Nothobranchius furzeri: one gene and its partners. The protein of the gene in region 1 purifies or fractionates together with the protein of each later gene. This does not show direct contact. Links are inferred from orthologs where the notes say so. Each region holds a gene or a part of one and is shown on either strand. Other genes may lie near its edges. The genes, in order: rbx1, fbxo42 and cand1.

Evidence for each region.
Region 2: the proteins of rbx1 (region 1) and fbxo42 purify together in Homo sapiens (affinity purification with mass spectrometry; 4 studies listed by BioGRID and IntAct, with this or other methods). This does not show direct contact. The link is inferred for Nothobranchius furzeri from reciprocal best matches to the Homo sapiens genes RBX1 and FBXO42.
Region 3: the proteins of rbx1 (region 1) and cand1 purify together in Homo sapiens (affinity purification with western blotting; 6 studies listed by BioGRID and IntAct, with this or other methods). This does not show direct contact. The link is inferred for Nothobranchius furzeri from reciprocal best matches to the Homo sapiens genes RBX1 and CAND1.

The regions. Positions count from the first base shown.
Region 1 is NC_091752.1:65,786,326-65,789,496, forward strand, and holds rbx1 (E3 ubiquitin-protein ligase RBX1), read right to left. Parts: upstream 2,166-3,171; 5' UTR 2,108-2,165; coding exon 2,030-2,107; intron 1,349-2,029; coding exon 1,270-1,348; intron 1,194-1,269; coding exon 1,123-1,193; intron 970-1,122; coding exon 884-969; intron 800-883; coding exon 787-799; 3' UTR 654-786; downstream 1-653. UniProt on the Homo sapiens protein: E3 ubiquitin ligase component of multiple cullin-RING-based E3 ubiquitin-protein ligase (CRLs) complexes which mediate the ubiquitination and subsequent proteasomal degradation of target proteins, including proteins involved in cell cycle progression, signal transduction, transcription and transcription-coupled nucleotide excision repair.
Region 2 is NC_091743.1:45,889,697-45,893,451, reverse strand, and holds the start of fbxo42 (F-box only protein 42), read left to right. Parts: upstream 1-960; 5' UTR 961-1,182; intron 1,183-1,930; exon of another isoform or gene 1,931-1,986; intron 1,987-2,075; 5' UTR 2,076-2,081; coding exon 2,082-2,355; intron 2,356-2,452; coding exon 2,453-2,569; intron 2,570-3,436; coding exon 3,437-3,571; intron 3,572-3,670; coding exon 3,671-3,755. UniProt on the Homo sapiens protein: Substrate-recognition component of some SCF (SKP1-CUL1-F-box protein)-type E3 ubiquitin ligase complex. Specifically recognizes p53/TP53, promoting its ubiquitination and degradation.
Region 3 is NC_091741.1:34,342,836-34,346,590, forward strand, and holds the start of cand1 (cullin-associated NEDD8-dissociated protein 1), read left to right. Parts: upstream 1-920; 5' UTR 921-1,140; coding exon 1,141-1,208; intron 1,209-3,755. UniProt on the Homo sapiens protein: Key assembly factor of SCF (SKP1-CUL1-F-box protein) E3 ubiquitin ligase complexes that promotes the exchange of the substrate-recognition F-box subunit in SCF complexes, thereby playing a key role in the cellular repertoire of SCF complexes.

The DNA of each region.
Region 1 (3,171 bases):
TCTATAGCAACATCTAATCAAAGCATCCCGACGGTTAGGAATGATGTTGGAATCTGGGATAACCTTGTTTCAGCTGGAACTTCATTTAACAGCAGGTTGATCTTTTTTTTTTATTGAAACGGCTGCACTGCTAGATTGCCCCTCCCCCCTCGTATTAAGATATGAACGTTTCTACAGCCATTTAATACGTGGTTTAACCTCTGTCTGTCTCTGAACACAGCCGAACTCTCACGAGCGTTGGCATGTTTTGTTATTAATCTGTTATAAATGCAAATAAAAGGATGTCTGTCTCACCCTGTTGGAAAAATATTCACAATAAAACTATTTAAAAACATTTTGTTCCATTTTATTGGTTTTTAAATTAATCTGATTATTAAATAAACTAAATTAAATAAGCATGTGAGTTATTTCATTATTCAGGCGGTATGTGTAGTCCAGACGTTTAATCCAGCTGTGCTGCTTGTTTTGTAGCTTGAGGATTACAGCCGTGTCAGATCTCATGTCATTCCACGTGGCTGTAGATGCTCGTGACTTTCGTCCCAACACAATGTACCTCATGAACTAAACTATGAAGGTGCATGGTTGAGCATATCATGTGCACTTAATCTAGTTTTACGACTTCAATTCAAATGTGATTACATCCTCCTGAAGACTGATGGTTTTACAGTTTATTGAATTACAACATAGCAAAACATGTAAAATAACATCTAGGTATATGAGCAGGAAGCAAAATGGAAAGTGAAAGGTTGATGCTCGCAGAAGCCAAGGAACAGGTCAATATCACAACTAGTGTCCGTATCTGCGAAAGAAAAAACGAAAATGTGTTTGAGTCAAGCATCAAACAATCCTCAAAATCATATATGCATTAATGGATCCGACTCACTTCTGAAACTCCCACTCCCTGTTGTCCAGGGGACACACCTGTCTGGTCTTCAGCCAACGGGAGATACAGTGGAAATGGAAGGCATGCTATGGAAGGTAAGGAAATGTTTAAACGACTGGATAGCAGTTTAACAAAGATGCAAAGACTGAAAAATAAGTGATCTGCACTTGTAGAGTGCCTTTCAGAGTCAAATGACCCATATCTATCATCCTACTGAAAGTTGCACCTTAGAAACTCACATTGCAGACACCCCAGGCCACAGTGCACTCTTCTGAGGTTGCAGAAGCTTGGTTGGCCTGGCACTCTATGCCTGATGAAGGATGAGGAATTGTGTAAGAGGGCTGCCAACAACTCACATGCAATCAAACACCCCTATGTGAACTTACACAGATCCATGATGTGGTTCCTACAGATAGCACAATTATCCACCACTATGTCCCAGGCCCACAGTGCAACAGCATTCCACTGGAACAAAAATCACATTCTGTTCATAGGAAGGTAACTTAAAATGAAGGACCTCATACCTGGAAATAAAAACCTTAATTCTATGGCTCATTGTAGGGTCTCTGACATTCAGTACTAATTCAAAGTTATCTTACAAATAAAGTTTTTCAACCTTTGATTAAAAAATGCTTCCATGGACACCTCAATCTAGAAAAGGAGTTAATTAAAATCTGATTAATAAAATCCTTCTCTATCAGTACCGTTACTTTTAAATTATGTAATGAATAGGAGAAAAAAAACCTTGTCATCAAAACTACTTAACATTTTATCCTGAGGAAATGTGACAGTCATTTAAATACTTTAAATCTTGGGAAATTTCGAGATGTACAGCTTAGCTGACTAAGCTAATTTAGCATGTAGACTAAGAGATTAAAGAGGTATTTGTCCATTTTTAAATCGTGCTGTTATTGTGTAACTACTGAGAGTTTATCATCGCTCTTATTTCTCTACAAGTTCTAGTTTAGACTTTAAGGCCATAAACAGAATAATGATTAATTATTTCTTGTAGCAGGCTAACAGCTAAACACCGATAACGGTGTTTAGCAAGCTAGCGTTAGCTAATGTTGGGCTAAACCTTTCGGCGTTGCTGACAAAGTGCACCGTTTAGTTTAGTCAACACAGACAAACTTTCAACTATCGTACCTTTTTCACTTCAAAGCGCTTCTTGCTTGCTCCACTATTTGTACCGCTTGGCGTGTCAACATCCATTGCTGCTGCCATTTTGAACTCTCCGGAAGCGTTTATCTAAGTTTTACCGGAAAATAGCGTCACTTCCTGTTCGACCAGATTAAGCAAATTTTCGAAAGAAAATATTATTTTCTTAATAATTTTTGAAAAAACAAAATCAGGTTGTATTTCTGAATTGTTACCGTTGACACTCTTAATATTTGAAGAAGTATTGGTTAAAAGGTCAGGTTCCACCGAGATTTGAACTCGGATCGCTGGATTCAGAGTCCAGAGTGCTAACCATTACACCATGGAACCCCTGCTTATTAACATTTCTCTGTAAAGAATTTGTTAAATCAATAGCACATGTATTGCTTTTATTCATTGCTTTTACACACCCTTAATTTCTCATGCAAAAAAAAAAAAAAAAAACTTCTCATGCTGTATAGAAAGGTGTATCTATCTGAGCTACACACTGCGTCATACTCATCACACTACTGTGTACCACACACTCCCCTAGCTACAACGCTGCAAATGAGCGAGAATGGGGAGTTGACGCCCTCCAGTGGCAAAAGACCAACATAGCAGACATAACCTGTAACATAATAGAAATGCGGTTCTTTATACTGGTTGTTCTTTGTATATAATAAACTTTTAATTCAATTACTTGCAATCTGTCGTTTTATTTGATTGACCTAAATAATGCAAATAAATATATCCATCAGAGTATTAAAACACCTGCGTACTCAATCCTTTAATTTGCGCTCTCTGCTGGAGAAATCGGGTTGCTGCAGGTACTACATTCATACAACTTAAAAATTACGATTTTTAAATTGGCGTTAAAAACACAGTTAGTATAAAATCGGAAAATACACAATAAAACAATTTAACTAATGAAACTTGATAAATGTATTTCAGTTATTCGTGTTAAACAAGATTAAATCAATAGGCTAAAGAAGCTAGCTATCAGCCCCACAAACATTCGATTATACGCCCACTGGCGGCCACAGGGCAAAACTACATCTACGAGAGGACTTCATTTGCTTCCCATTTGGAAGCATGGGCATGGCTGGCTTCGCTAAGATTTAGAGGGATTTTTATTCATTTTAAAAATGTAA
Region 2 (3,755 bases), on another chromosome or scaffold:
TTATTTCTCCAAATGAAGTTAAAATTGATGGTGTTAATCTTTTTAATTAGGTTGTTTGAAATTGCAGTACTGCAGGTTGGATAAACTAATCGAGATATACTCTCCATTTTGGTTAAATAAATGCGCCCTAATATGGAGAGATCCCTCTGAAGCCAAATATTTAGTTTGGCTTTAATTTCATTAAGTTTATTTGTTATGTTTGTCCTTAGGTTAAATTGTTGGTCTTTAGAAATATATGTTCCTATATTTAATTTCAGATTTGATGGGAATGTTACAAATTTCTTTTAGAGGGGAGTCATGAATAGCCAATAGTTCACATTTTTTCAAATTTAGCTTAAGTCCACATGCTGCAGAGAATAGCTTGATTTTATCAATAGCAATAGGAATTTGTTTATAATCTTTTAAGAAAAGCATGGTATCATCCGCTAATTGACTTATGATCAACTCTGTGCCAAGGACATTTAACTTTTTTAGATCCACACAGTTTTTTAAGTAGATTGCTAACATTTCACTAACTAATATGAAAAGGCAAGGAGAAATTGGGCAGCCTTGTGGTATGCCCACAGAGACATTGAACCTGGGGGTGGAACCTCTGGGTAACGAAACACAGCTGCTAATATTCCGATACAAACCTCTGATTAGATTAGTAAACTTAACTCCAAAGCCAAGATGTTCTAGAACTGAGAAGATAAATTGGTGTTCCACTGAATCGAATGCTTTATAGAAATCTAAAAATAATATGAAACCGTCATCATTTATCATATCACTGTATTCAATAATATCCATTACCAATCTTATATTGTTGTGAATAGATCTTCCTTTTAAAAATCCTGACTGTGTTTCCGAAACAATATCTGAAATTCCAGATTGAAGACGTATCTTGAAAATGTAAGTCAGAAGTTTATAATCTGTATAGGAGCGTTCAAAGGTGCCAGGATCTCCAACTGTGGAGATGATCCTAGGCAGCTGGGGGCGCAGTTCCTGCACCCGGCGACCCACCCTACTGGAACCTCAGCTGGACGGAGCCTGCTGGAGTGGAGCTCTGAAGAGGGAGCAAGCGGCTCTTCGAGCGGAAGATGGCGATTGCGTGGAAGCTGCAGAGGAGTCATCGGAGCTGATATAGGGAGGGAGGAGAGGAAAATACACACAGACAGCTCTGCAAATAACACACCTGAAACTACGGTACCTACTAAGCCTATGTTGCTATTCAGTGTAATTGTCAACATTTTAGGGAGGAACACTGTCATGTTAGGGCAACACTCACAGACGTACACACGGGCGAACAGATCATTGAGAAGGAAGGACCACAGAAATCAGCTAGCCCCTTAGCTTCTAAAATGCTATGCTAGCTGCTGTTAGCTGTAAGCTTGAGTATGTCACATCGACAAGACTAAAACGACTAAATATATATATGTATATATCGCTTGTCAGTTCGAATGTACTAAAGGGGAGATTTTAATCTAAAGTTGTATGTCGCTTGGTAAAGATTGAATTCTGTTTGCAGCCGTTAGCAGGGATGTAGGAAGGCAGTGTTAGCTAATGCTAATACTCTCTGAGAAGCGTTAAATTTTTAAACCTGAACCAAACGACTCAAATAAATGTTTTGTGACATTTTGAGCAAATGTAATAGATTTTTACTGCTCCGTTGTTTAGATAGTTTTAGAAATCATTTAGCATAATCAATACAATGGTTCATTTTGTTATGTGATTGGTAAAAGTGGCTAGCTAGACAAGGCTAATGTAATAACTGGGATGTGCTTAGTGGAAAGGCCAGCTTCACGGTCTAAAGAAAGAACACCATCGATTTCAAACAGTTGATGGATTATTTATTCGTGCCGTGGGCTAAAATGGCACTAAATGTTGATCACAACCTTGCACCATCATTAGCAGCTGCTCCTTCTGTTTTATGTAAGTTTTCATCCTCTTGTAGATTCAGTTGAAAGAAGCACAGTAAGGAAGTGGTGGACAAATCACGGATAAGCAAGTGTAAACATAAATTTCAATAGGTAACACATTCGGATGAAGCTGAAGCCGAACTCGCTCATTAACTCTGCTCAAAACACATGTCTCAACAGACAATAATGTCCCTATCCCCTGACAATGAAAATGGATACTTTGTTGCCATGGATACAGAGGATGATGGTACAGAGACTGCTGGGATAACAGAAGAAGAGGAGACAAAGATGGGGTCCTGTAGACAAGAAGGGGACGTGGACAGCTGTGCCAAAGATAAAGGGAGAACAATGGTTGAGTTGCCAGAGGAAGTTCTAGAATATATTTTATCCTTCCTCTCACCTTACCAGGAGCACAAGACCGCTGCGTTAGTGTGTAAGCAGTGGTATCGTCTCATTAAAGGTAGGACCATCCCATTTGCTTTTGCACTGTTTGTACCACCGTCTGTTGATGTGTTGTTCTTGCATTTTTTTTCTTACTTCCATTTTCTCTAATTTAGGTGTAGCTTATCAATGTTACCATGGTTTCTTGAGAGCTGTTCAAGAGGGAAATATCCAGTGGGAAAGTCGGACATACCCATATCCTGGAACCCCGATCACTCAGCGCTTCTCACACAGTCAGTACATTCTTATTTGCATCTTACACTGAAACACGCCAAACCTTTGTGACATCTGGATTTCTTTAAATTGAAAATAACTTGTTATTGTACTTTTCTTGTCTAATTGACAACTCAACACACTTAAACACTGCAAAGGGATCTATATATTAAAGAGCAGGTTCACTGAGAAATCGCTTTTCAGTCATTATTTTTTTAAAGTGATCAGTCACGCTTGAGTTTTGCACGGAGGCTGAACATAAAAATAGCCTTCCACCTCTACATCCTGCATTAGCTTCTGATAGAAAATAGGCAGAAAAACACTCTGTTCAAAAAAATCTGACAGATCTACGTCACACTGTCACTTCACATTCATGGACTCGGCCATCTTGGCCCACAGTGAGGAAGACTGTTGTTGGTTTAGCGTCCAGGAACCAGTAGAGAACGTCTCGGCTATTAGAAGCTAACCGTTAGCGTTAGCGACTCCCCCTCATGGCAGAGGATCATGTTTGTGTTATTTGTTGAGAATAAACATCAGTGTTGCAGAGTTGCTGTTAGCCAATCAGAGGCAAGATGTCCCGAATATCAGGAAATTAAAATCAAACCTGCTGCCACTTTCTTCTCCAGCTGAATATTACGTCCTCACGGCGCAACTGAGCCTCCCCCCCCCCCCCCCCCCCCCCCGGAGAATGACTTATAATATTTCCTTCCTACCAGAGACCAACGCCAGAAAGCAATCTTGGAAACTAAAGTTTAGCTGATCATAACGGCATAGATGACAAAACACCTTTTACAACTCTGCTGTTAATGTGCACGACATTATTCTGCATCGATTCTGTGTTTACATCTGATCTGTGCACGTCTTCTTGTTTTGGGGGAATGTTGCAGGTGCGTGCTATTACGACTCGAACCAGTCCATGTATGTGTTTGGGGGTTGCACTCAGAGTAGCTGCAACGCTGCCTTCAATGATCTATGGAGACTTGACCTCAACAGCAAGGAGTGGATCCGTCCTTTAGCCTCAGGTGAGAAACATTTTAGTGAAAACCAGAACCAAACAGGAACTCTGAGCCTTGTTTGAGTGTATTAAATTTGATTTCTTTATTTTGAAAATGATCTTCCAGGCTCCTATCCTTCTCCTAAAGCTGGAGCGACTCTAGTGATGCACAAAGATCTGTTAGTTTTGTTTGGGGGATGGACGCGGCCCAG
Region 3 (3,755 bases), on another chromosome or scaffold:
CTGTGTGTGACGTTTATTACAAAAAGTCAGTAGTTTTTGCAGCGTTAGCTCGGTGCAGACCCAGCAACTCCAGGCTCATGTATAGTAAACTACAAATACATCCCTCTTTAGATGTTTGAAAGGAGATAAACCGATAACCCCCGCCGGCTGAGAAAATAACCTCCATCTTTCAGTTCTTTTTAAAACACAGAAAAGGTTTATTTACCTCCAACGTTTCGTTTGCGGCTGCAAACATCATCAGGCTGGCACCGATGGTGGCGTCATTTCCTTCGTTTATCCGCGGGCAGCAGTTGTAAAAAGAACTGAAAGATGGAATTTGAAACTAAACACAGCAAGAACACACAAAAGAAGGAGAAAAAAATCTGTTTTAAATGTAACCTTCCTTCCAACATGAATGAGACATTAGACTGTTTTGTGATGATTTCATTGTAAATTTGTTACATATTGCTCCTTTAAAGTAGTGAAGGGATTCCACAAAAACTCAATAAAGGCACAGAAAAACTTAGCTCTATGCCAGGGCTGATGGGGAAAGATGAATCACATAATTATTTAATCAGATTAACACGCATTTAGAATGTTTTACTCATAAAAATGTTCAGTAAGTACATATTCGTGACTGTACACCTTGTGTTTAATAATGTAATAGTGATTTTTTTTGTGAATGACCCAACAGAATCAGCCTGAGCCTGGATTATCCGGGTTTATTAATTTATTAATACAATCTGATTACGGTAATCTGTGGCGCCTTCTGACAGGTGGTCTGGAGAATATTCCTCTCAAGTCGGTGCTTTTCCGTCTCTTTTTCACTTATGAGGTTAACTGTAACTAGTAATCCTGGTTGGGGTGTTTTTAAACTTGTGCGCAAAGGCGAAGCTGGCTCTACCGGGTGGATCTCCGGTATGAGGGAACAGTGACCTCAAACCCCGCAGCGTCCAGTCCCGCTCACTCCGCCCCTCTGCAGAGAACCGGAGCCCCATTCAAACTAAAGTCCGCGCCCCGGGATGCCACAGCGGCTGTAGAGGGAGATAACGGCGGCTACGGCAGCAGAAGAGGCAGAAACACACCCTTTCACCCAAAACCAGCCGCATTTGAGACGCCCAGCCGGGCTCAGTCAGCTAACAGGAGGCTAACGGCACCAACATGGCGAGCGCCTCGTACCACATCTCCAACCTGCTGGAGAAAATGACCTCCAGTGACAAAGATTTCAGGTAAATCTAACTCCAGACGGGTAGCTTTACATGTTGCTTATTAAAACAAACTCAAAGCGTTTCTTTAATAATTAGATTTAGTCAGACGCGCTGTTTTTGTGCGGATTTCAGGCATCTGTCAGGAAGGCCTCAGGCTAGCGTGCTGCTAGCGAAACAACGCTAACCTGCTGGTTAGCGGTCTGCTGAGGTTCGGGTCGGCCCGACAGCGGGTTTATACGGCATTAGCAGCTGGTTAGAGGGATAACCTGCTAGTTATAGAGAAAACCTGCTGCACATGGTGATGATCTGACACCTGAGTTGCACGGAAACGGTCGCTTGTTAGCGGCTAACCTGCTTGTAGCTGGGTAGCAGCCGCAGCGAAGCGTGCTGTTAGCGGCGCACTGGAGGATGTTTACCGAGGTAAAGTGACCAGGTGAGGGCAGGCAGGTGTCAGCTGATGGGGTTCGTGTTTAGGTGGTGCAGATGTGACTGTCTGGATGATCTTCAGCTCATCAGGATGGACGTTTGTTCACATGAATGTAGCTCAGAAGGAGCTCTAATTGGTTTCTTCCGCTCTGTTTATAAACTTCTCGGTGACTAATCAACATCGCGCGCTTTACTATGATTTGTTTGCCTTCTACAACAGAACCTTCGGTACAAACACACACAGTCAGTTACTAATTAGGAAAGAATCACCAGTGTTTATGGCACAGTACGTTTTGAACTACATTATCCAGCAATTCTGTCGTGCGCGATGCATTCTGGGTAGATGATCACGTTACATAGCAACGGGCGGAAGTGATGGTTCAGATGTGTGAACTGTACTGATGATGATCGTAAATGATGGTTCAGTCGTACTCCCCTAAACATGTGACCAGTTTAGTCACAGATGGACCTGAGAAAACCTGAGGCTGCACAGGTGTGACTCGTCCTAAAGAAGCCTGACTTGTACTCGTATGTCTGCGTGGCTTCAGAGACACTCAACGTCATGATGCATCAGCGTGAGGGCTCTCCGACAGGCTCGCAGAGGCTGGAGCCGTGACCAACTTTTCAGCTATCTGTTGAAATTGTCAGAGATTTCAAGCTTGTGATTGGTCAGGACGCTGCTTCCTTTAAATTAGTCAACAGCACCCCCATCGCCCCCTCAAAAAATAATGAGAGCTGAAGATATTTAGTGGCGAACACAGAACAGATTGAAAAACATCTCCGTCGATGCGTATGCAACTCCACACTCGAGCTGACGAAGAATTAGAAATGAGCCTTAATGCTGAAAGTCTCCCAGTGAGACGCGTGTTAGACCAGGGGTATTCAGTTCTGGGCCTGGAGGTCCAGCACATTTTAGTTTTAACTCAAAAAACCTGATTTCAATCAGCAGGTGATTAACCGGCTCCCGCAGAGCCTGATGAGCTGCTGCACAGGTAACTCAAGTGTATTGAATCAGAAAAACCACTAAAATGTGCTGGATACCAGACCTCCAGGAGCGGAGTCGAATACCCCTGCGTTAGACTATATGATGGTCTAAACCAATCAGAGGGAGTGATGGGAGGGGCCTCCACTCTGATTGGCTGGATCATAGCCAATCATGCAGATTAGGGTTATGAACGGACACATGGTTTAGGAGAGTAAAGGAAAGGTATGATTGTAATGTTTTTGTCAAGTTGAGCAGTCTGGAACCCAGCAGGAGCTCTGGCACAGAACCATCAACCTCCGAGGTTACGAGTCCTCATCAGGAGACAACATCGGATCATGAGCCACACATGAGCGGCTCTGATCTGGAGTCCCACAGCCTGTGAGCGGATCAAAGCAGGAAATGTTGACATCATCAAATTAAAAGGTGAAAATGGACAAAGCACGTAAAAAACGCGTTAAATGCTGACGTAGGTGCTCCTCCTCTTCCGCCTTTCTGCAGCACATGCAGTGTGTTGCTAGCATGATGATGGAATACAAAGATAGAAGTGAAGATTTAGTTTAAAGTTTCACTCGCGTAATACATTTTCAGTGGTCTCTAGTAGGAATGAATGCCTTGTAAGTTGTACTCTTGAGGAAACAAAGCTCTAGTGCGCCTGTTTCAGGAACTAGAAGTGAGCCACATCTGAGCTGAGCTTCTGATGGCAGGATTTGGAGTCCTATTTCCTGATATTTAGGCATCTCTCCTCTGATTGGCTAAAGCTAGGCGTACAGTGTATGACTTTTTCACTTTTGTGAGCCGGTTTTCCCCTCGTACGAGAATCTAGAAGGTCGGGGCGAGTTTTGTGCTGAGCATCGTGTAGTATACAGGAGGCTACGAGAGGCGATTAACACCACATGACCAGGTACCTACCGGTCAGCAGTCGTACACTCAGACACATTTCTGGCATATTGCATATTTAACTCGTCCCTCGTGAGGGTATCGGACTGTTAAAGCGGCACTGCGACCCAAAAAGTACCAGAACCGCTCACGGCACATGCGTGAACATGCATCAACACGGCTCACCAGCTATGTCCTTATTAACACACTTCAGTCGTTTTTATTTATACACTTTTTTCGCACACGATTACATGTGCTGGATACCGGAAAGCGTGTCAAAT